2 linked regions of the Astyanax mexicanus genome follow. The protein of the gene in region 1 purifies or fractionates together with the protein of each later gene. This does not show direct contact. Links are inferred from orthologs where the notes say so. Each region holds a gene or a part of one and is shown in the gene's direction. Other genes may lie near its edges. The genes, in order: gtse1 and acad11.

The links.
Region 2: the proteins of gtse1 (region 1) and acad11 purify together in Homo sapiens (co-immunoprecipitation; 3 studies listed by BioGRID and IntAct, counting the BioPlex papers as one, with this or other methods). This does not show direct contact. The link is inferred for Astyanax mexicanus from reciprocal best matches to the Homo sapiens genes GTSE1 and ACAD11.

The regions. Positions count from the first base shown.
Region 1 is NC_064417.1:36,523,826-36,532,557, forward strand, and holds the start of gtse1 (G2 and S phase-expressed protein 1), read left to right. Parts: upstream 1-5,380; 5' UTR 5,381-5,536; coding exon 5,537-5,539; intron 5,540-5,869; coding exon 5,870-5,912; intron 5,913-6,090; coding exon 6,091-6,148; intron 6,149-6,688; coding exon 6,689-7,322; intron 7,323-7,451; coding exon 7,452-7,613; intron 7,614-8,732. Other genes in the region: atp2b1b (plasma membrane calcium-transporting ATPase 1b), read left to right, coding at 1-101, 664-875, 985-1,092, 1,204-1,389, 2,038-2,379. UniProt on the Homo sapiens protein: May be involved in p53-induced cell cycle arrest in G2/M phase by interfering with microtubule rearrangements that are required to enter mitosis. Overexpression delays G2/M phase progression.
Region 2 is NC_064408.1:104,861,598-104,870,236, reverse strand, and holds the start of acad11 (acyl-CoA dehydrogenase family member 11), read left to right. Parts: upstream 1-5,001; 5' UTR 5,002-5,166; coding exon 5,167-5,291; intron 5,292-5,380; coding exon 5,381-5,480; intron 5,481-7,327; coding exon 7,328-7,453; intron 7,454-8,639. UniProt on the Homo sapiens protein: Acyl-CoA dehydrogenase, that exhibits maximal activity towards saturated C22-CoA.

The DNA.
Region 1 (8,732 bases):
GTACGGCCGCAACAAACCTCTCATCTCCAGAACCATGATGAAGAACATTCTGGGTCATGCCATCTACCAGCTCACCATCATCTTTACTCTGCTGTTTGCTGGTGAGCACTGCGCCATGAGATAGATTAGTAGTAGATTAATAGATAGTAGATTAATAGATATAGTACCTGCAGTATTGCTGCGACAATTAATTTTTAAATCATCCTAAATTTTATTAAACATTTGATTTTGAGATAGTTGCAAGATTATAAGTGTATGTAAACACAATTGAATTATTTGTACCATCAAATCATAAATAAAAAGAAGTAATATGTTTTAAACCAACTTTTTGTTATGCCTTTAAAATGAAATGTGATCATGAAATAAACAAAATGTTACAACAGTAATAAATATTAGTTACAAGATTTTGCTTTCCTAGATATAATTGTGTTTTAGATACACAGCACTGTCAACTGCCCAATCATGTATCTAAGTGTGCAAAATTACTTGTGATTTACATGTGCAGAAACTGTAAAATATTAAAGCCCTTTAAACATATTCCTTGAAGATACTATATAAAATAGATGCCAAATGCAAGTTTTAATTTATTCTTGTACTTAGATTAAAATAAATCCACATATATGTTGTTTTCTTAAGTTATTCACTTAATTCTTCTCCAAACAGGTGAGCAAATCTTTGATATTGACAGTGGCAGGAATGCTCCTTTACATGCGCCTCCTTCAGAACACTACACCATCGTTTTCAACACCTTCGTCATGATGCAGCTCTTCAATGAAATCAATGCTCGCAAAATTCATGGCGAGAGAAATGTCTTTGATGGCATCTTTAACAACCTCATCTTCTGTTCCATTGTGTTTGGCACATTTCTTATTCAGGTAAAGCTAGACAGCAATCTAACAGCAAAAAAGTGTGTTCAACATAACTCATGGTACAAAACCAATATTTTGAAATGTATACATAATATTGCAATGATTTCATTTACAGATTGTGATTGTGCAGTTTGGAGGGAAGCCCTTTAGCTGTGTAGGCCTCAGTATTGAACAGTGGCTCTGGTGTGTCTTCCTTGGCTTTGGATGTCTGCTCTGGGGTCAGGTGCGTCTGAAGTCATATCATCTTGGTTCTGTTGTTTTCTTGGGTTTTCTATGGAAAAACAGTGCAGTGTTTTATAGTGTCAAATAATTATTTCATGCATTTGATTTGCAGTTGATCACCACCATTCCCACAAGTCGGCTAAAGTTCTTGATGACTGCTGGGCATGGCACCCAGAAAGAGGAGATCCCAGAGGACGAACTGGAAGAGATGGACATGGATGAAATTGACCATGCTGAGATGGAACTGAGAAGAGGGCAGGTCCTGTGGTGCAGAGGACTCCAAAGAATCCAGACACAGGTAGACTACAGCTGTTCCTTTTTTAAACGATAAACGTATACAAAAATATCAAATTGTAATATAGCTAAGCAGGTTACTATCTCTCTGGAATATAATTTCAGAAAAGAATGTGCATGAGTTTTCTATGTAAAAATGTTTTTCTTTAGTATAGTACTGTACTGTACTGTTTTTTGTTAAAAAAAAAAGACATAGAAACATCACAATTAAAGGAAGCAGCATGGAATGACATAAAGGAATGACATCTTCATTTCTCCATCTTCAACAACATGATCCAGTGCATTTTGCTAAATCAGTCAAATTTTACCACATATGAAGTTGTTTTATTGCAAAGATACATGGTTAGATATATACTATTTAAATACAAAGCATGCTGTGTTTTGTTTGCTATGAATACATATTATTTTTATATATACATTGTTATAAATGTTCATCAAATTGTATATCACCATTTTCCGTATGCATGTAGAGATTAATTGTTTGCTTTATAACATGCCATATTACTTTACTCAGAAGGTGATCTTAATTATGTTTTACAGTTGTTGTATGTTTACATACAAGTCCCTGTTACTTTTTACGTCACATTAGGTTGATTCCTAAACTACAGCTTAATTTTAATTTTTTTTTTCCTTTTCTAAACTTCCCTGACAGATCCGTGTGGTAAATGCTTTTCGGGAAGCCATGTCTCCATATGAAGGCCTGGAGACCCCAGAGTCACGCAGCTCTATTCACAACTTCATGAGTCACCCAGAGTTCCGCATCGAAGACTCTGAGCCAGCCATCCCTCTGATTGATGAGACTGACCCAGAAGAGGAAGCGCCTACAAAACGTAATTCTGCACCGCCCCCGCCCCTTTCTCCGATCGTATCTTCTCCTAACCAGAACAACAATGCTACAGACAGCAGAAGCTTTCACCGCCATAAGGACATAATCAAGACTGCCATTCCTCAGCCCCCTGGTAGCCCCCTGCACAGCCTGGAGACATCTCTCTGATTCCATCCAAGCTAAAACCTTGCTAAGACCATGTCTGTACTACCCATGCCAAGAGCACATCACAACCCTTGCAAAGAGCATGCTTAGGAGGTCATTAAATGTTCTGGTAATGAAATGGACAGTTTTCCATCAGTCCAGGTGTAGCTGGATGGACAAGTTAGCTAACCTACAGAGAAATGTTGGTATAGATTGAGGATTTATTTGAGGATTTCTTCCCAGGCGATCTACAGTAGTCTGAGAGGAAGCTAGAAAGAAAATGTATATTTTAATACATTTACAAATTGTCCTTAAAAGAAAAAAGATAGGAATGGAAATTTTTTCTCAATTTTCAATTTGAACGAAACCTTACCCACGTGCTTTCAAGTGAAACACTGATGTGTGTTGTTTTGGCTGATTATATTGTAATAAAAATTGTTTGTTTACATGCTTTTCAAAAATATACCACCTTTGGGGGAGGGGGAGTGTGGGGGGCAAAGTGCAAATAATGAACAAGACATATGCATAGTTGCTGCTGTATCTTTATGTGAGGTTTATGTTTAGGACTTAGACAGATGATGTTAAGGCATTGTGGTCTGGTTTAGTGGTATGCAGAATAAATGGGGAAAAGAATATATCAAAATATGTTTACCATTTCAGTTTTGTTTAAATATGTGGGTTATTGAAGATTTCAGGTTGGATTCAACTGATTCTAAGCATCTTGGCATCTTACATAAGTCCATTGTGAAGGGGCTGCAGAATGTGTGTGGTATTAACAATTTAACACCTGACTTTTCCCAACCAATTGCATCACTCATTGCTTCAGAGTTATCTCCATTTATTTCATTTTTTTAAATTATTGAAGACATCAGATAAACTCATCAACAAAAGCATGCATGCTCCTCAAGTTGTCCTTAATAGCTTTGCAAGCAAGGCTGCATAAAATATAGCTTTATTTTGTTTTACAAGCATGCTGCTGGGTTTGCCCCTGAAAGCCAGGGCACTGTAAACAAATTCTACTATCTAATCCCACAATCCCTTGGGGAATAACACAGAACATGTGGAGGTGAGGCAGTGAAATGACCTCCATAAAAATGAGAAGCACAAAAACTGTAATTGTTGATCTTAGGATCTAAAGATGTGGATTTCTGTGGAGGATTTAACCATGAAGATAGGTCATAGGTTATGTTGGGTTGTGCTACACATTAACATTTAAATTATTAGAGATGGCAAATAGGAAAGAAATGCTCTTTGGTTCTTTCTTTTTGTTTCACTGTAGCTTCATTCCTATTTTGGGGATGAATGTTTATCCATCTGTTTATGGATTTATTATTTTTTCTATATTTGGTAATTACTTAATGTCTGTAAATCATAAGCAGTATAAACAGTGATTGTGGTTCAATTTCCATTTGAAAGTGTGAGTAATGTGTATGGTTTTTTGACAATAAAAGATGAATAGTTAAAATGACTACAGTGCTGATTATTGTAATTGATTTTAAGGACGCAGGGAAATTGATAAATTATATAAATGATCTTAATAATAGTAATATGAGACACCATTCATTGATTATATACTTACACAATGTATATACATTACTGGTTTCTAAGAGACTGTACTGTGCAATTTTTTGGAATCGGGTAGGTACACACTTTATTTTAAAATTAAACACTGCCTGTTCGTTAGTGTGACTAAGTTTATCTTAAACATCTAATGCATATAAAGCCTTATTTTGTCTGGGATAGCTGGCTATGAAAATAATTGTAGGAACGGATTAAGAGGGCTATACTTAATAAACTACTAATAAATAATATAAGTTTTGTGATGTATGACTAAATTGGCCATCAGATGATACCAGTGTGTGCTGTTTTAACAATGATAAAATGAACATATCACTTTGTCTGCTAACCATGTTATGAAAATCATGGGAATCAGCTGAAACCAATACTAAAAAAGATTTGTGGTGTGAGTATTGAGTTCAGTTCTTAGGTTGAACAGGGGTTGATAAAGTTTTTTAGGATTAGAAGTAGTCTGCATTATATATGGTGATAAAATTCTGAAATTATACAGCACGTGTTTACAAATAACATTCCTCATACTACCGTCTCTCTAACCTCTAAATAGTGTTGTATGTGTTAAACTGGGGCCCATTATTACGGCCTACCTCAAATTCAAATAGGATTCGCAGTGATGATGGGAATTCTGTCCCTTTATGGCGTTATTCTCTCTATTTTGGCTCTTTCAGCTCCCATGCTCCTCCGATTTCTTAGTGCTTAATTTATTAACAAATTGTGTAAAAGTGAATTACTAATCACTAATGTAAAAACATACATTGTTATACATTATGACTCATAAAATTAAAATTATCCAATGTGAGAGAGACCTTTAATTGCTTTAAATTTACCCTGGGGTCCTAAAAAATATTAAACGTTTAAAAACTATGAAACCGGGACTGTGGGACTCATTTGGGAGCGCCCTCTTTTGGCCAAACAAGGAGATACAGAAGAGATTCCTAAGTGGGATTTCTAACTCTCTGTCATGATAAATCCCATCAGTGAGAAATATTGACGGCCACTGTGAAAAGCATGGAAAAAAACTTTCTAGTTTTCATTGGAGCTACTTATACACTTAAAAGCTTCAGTTAGTAAACAGTACGTGTGTAATAACCAAAGAAGTACGATACACTGTGCCAATCATTTTTAACTAGTACCAGACATTTGTCACATAATTGTATCACATAGTCCTTCTGACTGCAGAAAATACCATTGATCACGGCAAAATAACATGTATTCTATATATTTTTTTTCTTTGGGGGGATTGGGGGGTTCTAGGTCCGGGGGTAACGTTACCTCCCTAAAATTATTTTTTGCAACCTGGACGTCTGTTTAACGGGGGTGTGTTTATAATAAATGGTCCTTATATTTTGAGAACTAAAGTTTGTGATTTTCTGTTAGAAAGACTGAATCACATATATTTAAATCCTTCCACAAAGCGGACGCTTCCGCGACTTTCTCCACCAATGAGCTTTCGCCATTTCAGCCACCTGACGTTTGAAATCAGGCTGCGCACCAAATTTGAAAGCAGTAAAACGCTGTTGGGGCTCACGGTGAAGGAGCTGCGATTTTCTGAGCGGCTTTAATTGAATAAAACACGGTTATATAGTGTGACAGACTCAGAGAACAGATGGTAAGAGTGCGGCTTAGCGTTCAGGGAAAAGATGTAGAAGTAAAGCGAGATTTACTTGTCTGTTTTGGTCTGTTAGCTACTAGCTAGCCCGCTAGCTTAGCTAAACTAGCGTTAGCTCTCTTGTTTTGTGCTAAATGTAGCGACAATAACCAGCCAATCTGTTGGCTCCAGCTAGCTAACTTAAGCTACGCTAAGCTAAGCCAAGCTAACTGTCTAGCAAGTGAGCTTACCGAGCTGATATGAGCGCAAACATATCAAATGTGTTTTATAATCGCTAAACTCTCTAACTAAACTCTCTAACTAGCGAACGGACCTCTTGTTTATTTTCAGGACTTTGACCCATCTGGTTTTCCGAGGATGATGGCTGATGATGGTAATATACTTTCAGATGTTTATAGTCACCTTGCTAAAAATTGTAGAAGGGTAGACTAGCATATGTATGTTTTTCCATACGAGACAAAATAGATAAACCGATGTGACTGTAGGAATCATCTCTTCACATGCGAGTTAAATTGACTGTCATTTCTTTGCTCTTTGGCTTCTTTCCGAAGATTTCTGCTCATTGGCTGACGAGAAGTTCGATTTTGATGTTCCCTTTTCACCAGAAAGGTTTGTTGATAAAAAAAAAATAGTTTTACTACACACTACTTCATTAAATGACCATGCATACGGTCTTGTAAAATATTGATATATTGTCAAGCTTTATATTACATTACATTTGGCAGATGCTTTTTTCCAAAGCAACTTACAAATAATGTACATTAAGCAACAGAGGACACAGAAGTACATGGCAAAAACATTTATTTAAAATGGAGGCGGAAAGGAAGGGAATAAGGAAATGAGCTTAAAACAATTGTCTGCAATACCAATATTTTGAGAGCTGGGCAATATGTCCAAAAACCTGATATAAATGGTGTAGCACAATATAATGTAATCAAATGCCTTAAAAAAAGTATAATGTAACATTTTTAGTGTTTATTTGTAACAACAAAAACTAGTTGTGCTGTACACTTAAGAAGTAAATGTCTGTGCATAACTAATGTATTTATTTAAATGAGTATGTTTACAGTAAATTGTCAAGCCCTAGTTCTTTGTCCATCCCCAGTGCAAAGAAATCTGAACTAATACCCCCTTTTTTTTTAAATACAGTTCCAAAGAGGAAGACTGTGTTGAAGATGAGGTCTTTCTGGGTCCAGTTGGTCATATGGAGAGATGTGTTTCACATGTTGTGGCAAATAAAGTGAAAGACAGTGTAAGCAGTGGGCCCTCTGTGGGTGAGGAACCCAGCTGGAGCCCCTTGCTTGAGGAGAACTTTGAGGAGATTCGTAAAGAAGCTCATCTTCTAGCCAGTCATCTTGAGGAAAGCAGTACGGACCCAGTAACAAAAGACATTACTGTTGCTTCCAGTTTGCCTGAAAACAAAGAACGGTTTGAAGCAGACACCTCAGCCAAACTGGACATGTTCAGCAAGCCTGCTGATGCACTTAGCCCAATTAAGAGGGAAACCTTCTGTGTTCAGGACAGCCCAATGAAGCAGCTTCCACCAGCCATCCAGAAGCGGCTTCAGAAGGTATGCGTCATGTCAGGTGGCAAACCACGTCTCAGCACTTCCAGCCCTGTAAGACATACTGAGACACAGCCTAAAGGGGCCTCCCGTGGCAGAAGTATAGTGGCCAGTAATAGGGTACTTCCCAGCAAACCCACGGCCGTGGTAAACTCCAGACTATCCTCTTGCACTCGACCAGCAGCCCCAAGCAAAACTCGACTCCCTGCACCCAGCAAAGTAAGGGGGTTTAACTTGTATGTTTGCAAATATTTTGTGGTCTTTTTTTTTTTCTGCCTTTCTGAATGCAGGACGGCTTTAAATAAACATTTTGTCACATGATGTGTTATTTGGTCTGTGCTGTTTCAGAGTTCGTTTGGCCTGAAGCGAAGTCCTGGCAGTAGAAACACAAGCAGAGCAGGCTCTACTGAAGACCTTCTGTCTGATACAGCTAGTGTTGCATCTGATGTGAGCGATTCTTCCTTCAACACAAGTCTGCCAGTAAAGAGGGTCCTCCCAACATCAAAGAAGGTGAAAGAACAAACACCAAGCACTTTCATTAGGTTATTTGAGAATGCTTAGAATTATTTTTTTCAAAAATTGTACATGGTCCATTGATTTAAGATGTTAACAACCTCATTCTGAGTGGGTTGATGTAAAATGGTTTATTGTAGAAAAACTTTTGTAACAATTTTCTTTATAGTGGTGGTGGTGGTTAGAACTAGGGATAATAATCCAATCAATACTTAGGCCTACATAACTCTTATTTACTATTTAAACCCATCCAGATTTTCATCTTGGATTTTTTTAAGTAGTAGTGGCAGGCCTAGATATTTAAAACATGTTTTGGGTGACCTAGTTGGAGTAATTTGACAACCCTGGTTATAAAAAAACTGCTATATACAATGCCAGCAGGGAGTAAAAAACAGGTTCGTTCATTTTTTTCACTCTGCTCACACGTCACATAAAATTAAACATTTAGCATCACTTATCATGGTTTGTAGCAGTGAGTTTATTGCTGCTTAAAACCTGCTAAAACAGCTGAGCTGTATGGTATTAGCTGAGGTAACTTTGCTAGCATTCTGGCTTTCTGTGAACTTTAACTTTAATGGCTTTAACGTAGTACTGTCAGAATGCCAGGCAGCAGCAGGCACACTGAGGACCCTAATTATTGTGTGGAGTTTAAAGGGCTATATTACAATGTTGTTGTTTTTTTCTGGTTAATCTAATCAGATTTCTAAAATGATCAGATTCTTTAAGTGGTCATGTAAACGGCATACTGATTTCTTCAGTTCAGATTAAACTCTAGTAATATGATGAGGAAAAATTGGCTTAGTAGTCAGATTTTTCAGCACATGCTTATACTCTGGTTTCTTTCAGTTTTCTCAGAGTATGCATGGAAATGTATAAACACATGGATAGGACGGATGCTTTTTCCAAAAAAAGTTTCTGTGTTTGACTATTTAGAGAATGGTGTAAAGGTCTTAACAATCTTAATAGTTTCATATTTTCTAAGATTATTGTGCCTGTCTCACTCTGGTCATAACTTTAAGCTTTTCTCATTTCCGTCAAGTATTATTTTTGTCTAGAATGAAAACACACTGAATTACTTTTATGTAATACATACAATTATGTAATAATTCTGTTTCA
Region 2 (8,639 bases), on another chromosome or scaffold:
CCCAAGCTCTGCTATTGTATAGCAGCATTGGCTGAGACTCAAAATCAGGCATTTGGAATTGGGTTGAATGTGGTTTATACTCAACAGCCAGTGATGTGGCCCATTTTCCATATTATACTCCATATTATCCATATCCATATTGTCCATATTATACAGCTTGGGTCGTTTGTTGTATTTGGCAAATAGGGATGTTGGCACATGCAACACTCGATCCAAATAAGAGCCAAGCCGTTCAGACCTAGATTTAGCTAAAGACATAGCTAAAAATGCCTTAGTGATTTTTGGGTTCTGATCTGGGTTCTGATTTGAGTGTTTTTGGGCCAAGATGAAAAGCCATACAGTCAGATACTGTGAGTAGTGATTGCCATTAAGCGAGTAGCAGAGTTTTGCCCTCATGAATGGTAGGGGCCTAGATATTTCCCCCAACACACACACACACGCACGCAGGCACACACACACACACTCCCCCATTCTGCTTCCAGTCTACTTTGTAATGCAGTCATGCTCACTCTGCCGCCCGTGAGAAAGTTCCGCTCTTTCACAGTCATGCTGAGAAACTGTTTTTCTGCCTATTCTCTACCCTGTCTCCCCGAGCACAGTGCATACTGAAGAATAGGACAGGACCCGAGTTTTTACATGAATAAACAGGGTGGGTAATATTTGTGAAACTTCTTTGCAATGGCAAAAATGACCTTGTTCCCCCTTTTAAGTGAATGAAAAGGATCTACAAGGGGAGCCAGTAGATGCTGGATCATTTAGAAGGGGCTTTTATTTCTACAACTTTATTATTCATGATCCCAGCAGATTCAGACATCGACTGATAATGCCTTTACAGGAACCAAACATTCCAATGTGACTCCAGGGTCCTGTTCCAAGACCCATAAACAACTGTGCTTTCTCTTTTTTTGCCTGAGCACAGCTGACACTGCAGTTTGCGGGAATGTGTGAGCATTAAAAAACTACATGTGTGTAAACTGAGTGATGAGCTGAAATAGAGATAGTAAGAGCACATTTCTGTAACATCTTTGGTCACAATAGAATATAATAGCACTTGAGCCAAAGTTGGACACTTTATGTATTTAAATACCGTATAGAGACTTTTGAGACATTTGAACGAAGTCTGTATTAAACTGTTGCCTATTTGCTACCAGCTGTCTCTTTTTCCGATGACTGCGGTCACATTTGCTAAAATGTGAACGGAGTCTGTCAGAGCAGTTTGGCATGAAATTATTTATTGTAGAAACATTTACTGACCCTGATGTCTTTAGAACTTGAGTCCATGGTGTTTACAACACAGATACTCATCCACAAGTGTATCCATGCAGTTTTATTGGTTATATATTTTGTATGTAATTGTAAAATGATGGCAGACCTAAAAAAATACTGTAATGCCCTGCCAGTAACATATTTAGAAATTTTATACATGGCCAAAATCTTTAAACTGTCAAATTTGTTATAAGGCAATGTGTCAGACATTAAGGAGTTTAACCATTTTGTGTAGTAGTGTTTACATGGATGTTCTTAACCATCTGTTTACCATCACCACCTCTCTAGAACACCACCTCAATCACTTTCACCTCAAACAGCTCACAACAACTTGGTGTACTTCAATTGTGTGAATAATTTGGACAAATCATTAGAATTCCTATTTAATTTTAAAGTATTAAAAGAAGACCAAAGCTTTTTTTGGACAATGCACATAAACAGTGTTTTTATGGGCTTGTTTTTTCCAGTTTTATTTAACATGACATAGGATATTTATTTTTCTAAGCACAATTATAAATGAACTTTTTTCCATTAGAAGAATTTCTGTACTGCATGAACTGTTTGCAGGCCCTATGCAGTTAGGAACTGAGTGAAACAGTGTTGTGTTTTATTGTTGTTGGAGCAGATGTCTGAAATGATTGCAGTCTGCTCAGAACTAATTGTATTAATGCTTATTAAACATGTCTTTAATAATACTTTTGAATAATGCGCCATTAAAGCTTTTTTGTACAACATTTGTCTACAGTGTTCACTATTAGCTGTTACTGCTCAGTGTTTTGTAGATTCCACTGAATTAGATTACTGTTCATTTTCTGTTTTACACATAATTCAATCAAAACAAGATATCGAATGGATCATATTTGGGAGTGTTTTGGTTTGACGGTGTGATGATTTGATGTACAACAGTTCCACCTTGTGGACAGTGTTGTAACTGTGTCTCCAGTATTACAGACCTATAAGGAAAGTACGCCCCTTTTTGATGCTCTTTTTGATTGTTTTTATATATTCTGGTGTTACATAGTATCAACAATTATGTTTGTCTACATGTCCATGACGTTCTGCATAAACAACACTTTTTAGAAGTATTTTGGAAAATCACAGTCCTTGCTCAAGCCACATGTCAATGAAACCTAGTTGCTCACAGGGTTTTTTACACCTTCTTTTTGAATGTCAACATCATGTCCATGGTGTTTCAGCATTTTGTTCACAACAGCACCTGTAAACCCAACATCTCTTATTATCCTGGAAGACACATAGGCCCTACAAGAGTTGGCCCTGGTTTGTTTTTCTTTGCTATTGCCAGTTGTTTTGTTGACCTCTCAAATGCGTATTAATAGTAGTTCTTATTAGTACATACAGGAGATTTAAAGTAGCTCTGAGTTTCATCTTCCAATTTCTTGTTGTAAGACTGTATGGAGTCCCATTGCCCTTCAAAAACAACTACTTCTTGGATGACATGAAATATATTATTGATAGATATGGCCATAGTTCAATTCTATTCAAGTAGAATATTGCTCAATTGAAGGAACCTATGTGAATATGGTTTAATCCTTCTTACCCAAAATGCAACATTAATATTAAGCAGGATGATTTAACGCTCGCCCTGCCCTGCGGGCAGCGGTACTCTGTATACAGTACACCTATGTCATATTTAAAAATTCAACGGGTGCGTCAGGTCGGCATCCTGTTTTAACCTCGCTGAGCATGCTCTCACTGTTTGATGTGTTTATATGCTCATAAATAACACAACTAGCGTGTTGATCTACTAGCTCTGACTGTACTACACCAAACCAATCAACTAGCTCGTTAAAGTTTTATTTTGAAAATAAATGAATTTATCATCTTATTAATTATCTTCACTTAAATTACATTTGCTGAACAATCTATATATTGTAAATCATTTTTACTTTGCAAAAAAAAAAAAAAATCTCATTTTGGCCTGCGGCCCCCCCAGTGAGCTGCAGAGGTATTGCAAGGGGGCCGTAGGCCAAAATGAGATTTTTTTTTTTTTTGCAAAGTAAAAATCCCACAGGTTGAAAACCACTGTTATAGTCTTTCATGTCTATAGATCAATTTGTGTGCCCCATAGGCAGCAGAAACTATACAGTACAGTGGCTGATAACATAGCATGACAAAGCACATATCTATAGTTCCTGTAGAGCAGTATAAAACTTGTACATTCTCAAGGTGTGAAGGTATGGTTTAATACACAAATACATGTCCACATGTTACATTATCTCACTAACATTAACAAGCACTCTGCAATTTACAACCCTTATTTCATATCATTATAGGTTATATCAGACTGTGAATTTTAATTAATAGCTGACAAATATCTAGCTGACTTTATCAAAACTACTACTATTTAAGTGTCTAAACTTGAGAGCTATCTAGGTGAGCTATCTAGCTAATTAGCCTGATAATACACACTGCTGTCTCCAGTTAATTTAATAAAGCGTATCTGTTCACCAAATAAACCCTTTAAAATAAAAATAAATGTTACAATCTTACGTCTTTTTATTTTTTGTTTGTTTTCTTGGCTAGCTGACTATCAAAAATACTGTAAACTATTGTAGCTAGGGGTTAGGTAGCTAAGTATCTAGTCTTGTTAGCCAATTAGCCTATACATGTGCATTATTGTCTCAAGCTAACTTAAAAAGTTTTTGTTCACTAAATTAAAAATTTTATTTATAAATATTTGCTCCTCCAAGATGGCTGGATCCAACTTCCCGCTCTTTTTCTCATTTAGCAGATCTGCTTTTTTGCCACGCCTTTTCTTTAATTTGATTGGTTGTTTCTCTGAACCAGTCACTTTACTTTCTCCCCCTGAGAAACTAATCCTGTGCGAAACGAAAGGCCCTAAACTCCCATCTGCAAAGTTTGTACTTGTTATCATGTCTCACATCCCAGGTCTATTTAACAATGGATTTTTCCTTTAAGTTATGGAGTGTAAATCAAGAGAATGTTTATTTTTCGAGGGGAGTTTTAATTTAATTAAAGAGCCACTAAACCCAAAACCATATTGTTCCACTAATAACTGAAACGTGTTTCTCTGAAGTAATGAACCATATTAGACCTGCTTAAAATTTGCATAGACCTTTCCTAACCTTTAAAAAAATAAACGCTTTTATTGTGGTCAGTTCTGCCTCTGCAGTGCCCATGTACTTTGGTATGCAGACATGTCACAAAATGCAAATCAATCAATTAATCAATAGTACAGTTCCCTTGGTGATGTTCAACTACCTGCGTCACACCACTAGCAGAGGCACACTGCTCAGCCCAATCAGCTTTCCCTTCCACCCCACCCCTAAACCCATACATCAGCCAATGCCCCTCCCAAGCTACGCCTCTGATTATTATTTTATTATTATTTGAGCTGATGGGTGGACTCAGCGGTTATTTTTCAATGTTTCAATGTTTTTATTTATTTCTTTATTTTTTCCCTGTATTGTAAATGAATATTGAAGTAATCCAGACTATGAATAAGCACATAAGGAATCATGTAGAACACTTATTTATTTAAGTTAATAGTCTATTTAAGTTAAAAGTCATGTTTTATATTAACGTTACAGCATTTTAGGGCTTAGCTCACCAATCTTGACCTTTAATCCAGTTTCCAGTGCTGTATTGTGTAATAATTGGTAAGTTCATTAGGGTAAGAGCTGATGTAATTGTTTGATCATGTAGTGTCTCAGGTCTGGTCACACCTACACAGGATCAGGTTAAAGTTCATGATCAGGAGCTGGATATAAGGTCGAGATAACCTGAAGACCTCTACTGTTGGGACACTATTAGAAAGCAGAGTGCTGGGGGGACTTTTATTTTGAAACGGTAGAAAAGTCTCGCAGAAACTCCAGCATTAAGCTTTGATTCTTGCTTCTCGTGTGATTTATCGCAACTATGGAAGAGGAGACAACCCCAGTGCGGCAGCAGCACCTGTTTAACGTGAAGAAGCTGCAGAAGCACCTGATAGGTCGATTACGCGGCGTTTCTGAGAACACTGCAGTGTCTGTGCGCCAGTACAGGTAAAGAGCTTCATTAATATGCATGAGCTGCTTCACTGTCACAGCTTTCACTGCATCTGTTTATTCACTGTTTTTCATTTTTTCTGCAGTTCTGGACAGTCCAACCCCACCTTCTTCATCCAGACTCCTGACAGGTCCTATGTGCTCAGGAAGAAGCCCCCTGGCCCTTTACTGCCTGGTGCACATAAGGTTAGCCCCTGTTTTCCTCAGGCTTCAGCTGATGCTCTTCATCATCAGCTTACATTTACATCATGTATATCACAAAGCCAAAGCTTTCTAAAGTGCTGCAGCATTCAGAAATCTTCAACTCGAAGTTCACACTTTGTTTGTTGTTGTTTGGACTTTGATACACAGCTGCAAAGTTGTCAGATATAACTTATGTATGTGAAAGGTCAGCTATAAAGCGCCACTAGATGGTGCCACCTTCAAAGACAAGAATATGAATTTACTGAATTTTGTGAATGAATTCCATTGTTTGAAGTACACTGGTGTGCTGACATCAGTTCAATTTTCTTCCCTTTTAAAGAGGCACTAATTTATATATTGTATTAATAGCTGAAATGTGTTCCTCTGAAGTAATAAAACAACACAGTCCTGCTTAAAAGTTGTAAAAACAGTTTCCAACCTTTAAAAAACGCGGTTTTATTGCGGTCATTTTACCATTGCAGGTTTAACCGTGCTATAGGTGAAGATGATGTTTCCGTGTACTTTGGTATGCGGACACTCACAATAGGCAAATAAGTCAATCAATCAATCAATCAATCAGTAATACTGCCCCCTGGTGAATTCCAACCATCTGCATCTCGCTGCTAAGAGAGGCACACTGCTCAGCCCAATCAGCTCTCCCTTCAACCCCACCCCTAAACCCATACATCACCCAGTGCCCCTCCCAAACTACCCATCACATTTGTTTCATATTTTTCAATTTTGAGCTGAGAGTGGAGTCAGCAAAAATGTAAAAAAAAAATTAGGAATGCTAGAGGATGTTTTTTTTAATCATCACATCGGCCGATTTAGACGATATTTCAAACAATACATTATAAATATAATGCATGCTAGAAAATGACTACAATTACTAGACACTGGCCATGCTACTTTGAATTCCATTGATTTAAGCAAATTTTTATTTATTTGTTTTAGTTTCAATAAACCTATTTTTTTTTTATTTAATCTGTTACATTTTTAAAAGAGGGTTAAAGCTGTGAGAAGTCTGCATAAGGACCAGTTATCTAAATAAATGTTAAAAACCAATAAATGTTAAAACAAATTTCTCAAGAGATTCCTTTCATTTTGTGTTTGCATACAATACATTGGTTGAAAGCTAAAATGTAAGGCAAATAAATATTACTTTTGTGTCTAAAGTTATACCAAGGTGTCTAATCTCGCTGTAAGTTACGAATGTTATATCAGATATCGGCCTAAAATGTTAATGTTGAAAAACCAGGCTCCCTGTTTCAGCTGGATTTATAGCAATTTAAAATTAATGCATTTTAGTACAATGCAAATATATTAAAGAAGCCAGTTGGGACATTTAAAAAATATATATATATATCGGCCTAGGTAGATATGTATAAAAAAATAATATTTACCTGTTTTTGTTACATGATGAAAAATAGAGATTGTAGAGTGAAATACATGACAACTCATATCTTCACTAAAATTATGATTTTATTCCAAGATTACAGTTTTCTGTTGTTGAATTTAATACTAAACGGTCAGAACAATAACAACCATCAGTATATGACAAAGAGGTGCACATACTGCAAATATGCTGTTAACCCTTTAACGCAAAGTTCTCAGTTTTGTGCTTGAAATCTAAAACATTATATTCTGCATTAGACATAAACTTGTGATGGGAGACCACATGATTCACAATGTATACAATACAAATATACTATATATTTGTTTAATCTCATTATATCACTATTGATCCTAAAGTCCTGACAAATTCAGAAATAAATTCTTAAAAAATGTTTCAAGTATAGTGTTTAGGATAAATGGTGAATGTTTTAAACTGTGTGTGTTTTTGTGGACAGGTGGACAGAGAGTATGCTGTACAGAAGGCTCTGCACTCTGCCGGCTTTCCTGTTCCTCAGCCTCTGCTGTACTGTTCAGACACAGATGTCATCGGCACTGACTTCTACATCATGGAGCATGTACAGGTCAGACCTGCAGGCTTTAGCATCATCTTTAAGAACCATGCTGACATCAGGACTGTTAAGTCCTGGTATGACATGGCATGCTTACATGCACAGCTGCGTGAGCTGCATTCCAAAACGTGGACTGCATTTCTCGGCTGCATTTCATTGAAGGCTGTTTTAAAGTTAAAAGTCCTTTGTATGCAGCAAAGAAATGCAGCAGGCATTGAACATTAAATGAAAATAAATTAATCACATTAGTCACTTTTTTGCGAACTGTATTTTAACTGTACAATTCAAATTAATTTTAGATGAGTAGCCAATCAGTGGATTGATTGATTTATTATTTATTTATTACTTAATTAATTGAACTGACCTAAAAAAAAACTCTCTGTTTTAAACATCAATCAGTAAGAGGTGCTGTAAATACTGTATGTCTTTTTCTTTATAGTTTAATGCATCTTTATTCACCTACAAATTACAAAGAATTTGGAAAAGACAGTAGCACATACAGTGCCCTCCATAATTATTGGCACCCCTGGTTAAGATGTGTTCTTTAGCTTCTCATAAATTGAGTTTTGTTCAAAATAATATAGGACCACGATGGAAAAAAAGAGTAAAGTCCAACCTTTAACTCAAGTAAATTTTAAGGGGGAAATAAAATCCCTGACTAAGAAATAATTATTCTTCATCAAATCACCTGTTCCACAATTATTGGCACCCCTAACAATTCTTAGGAAATAAATTTAATAAAAGTATTTCTGTCACTTCTACAGTAGTTTACGAAGTTGATCAGAGTATGTAGGAACATTTCATTAGTAATTCACAACTTCCTGTTTCCCTGGGGTATAAATATGACGTGACACAGAGGCCATTTATCTTCAACACGGGAAAGACAAAGGAACATACCATTCAAGTGAGGCAGATGTGTGTTGACCTTCACAAGTCAGGCAATGGCTACAAGAAAATCGCTACTCGCCTACACCTGTCCATATCTACTGTCAGAGGAATTATTAAGAAGTTTAAAACAACTGGAACAGTGGTAAACAAGCCTGGACGAGGACGCAAGTTTATTTTGCCACCACGCACAGTGAGGAGGATGATAAGAGAAATAAAAAGTTCTCCAAAGCTCACTGTTACAGAATTGCAACAAATGGTAGCTTCTTGGGGTCACAAAGTCTCCAAAACAACCATCAGGCGCTATCTACAT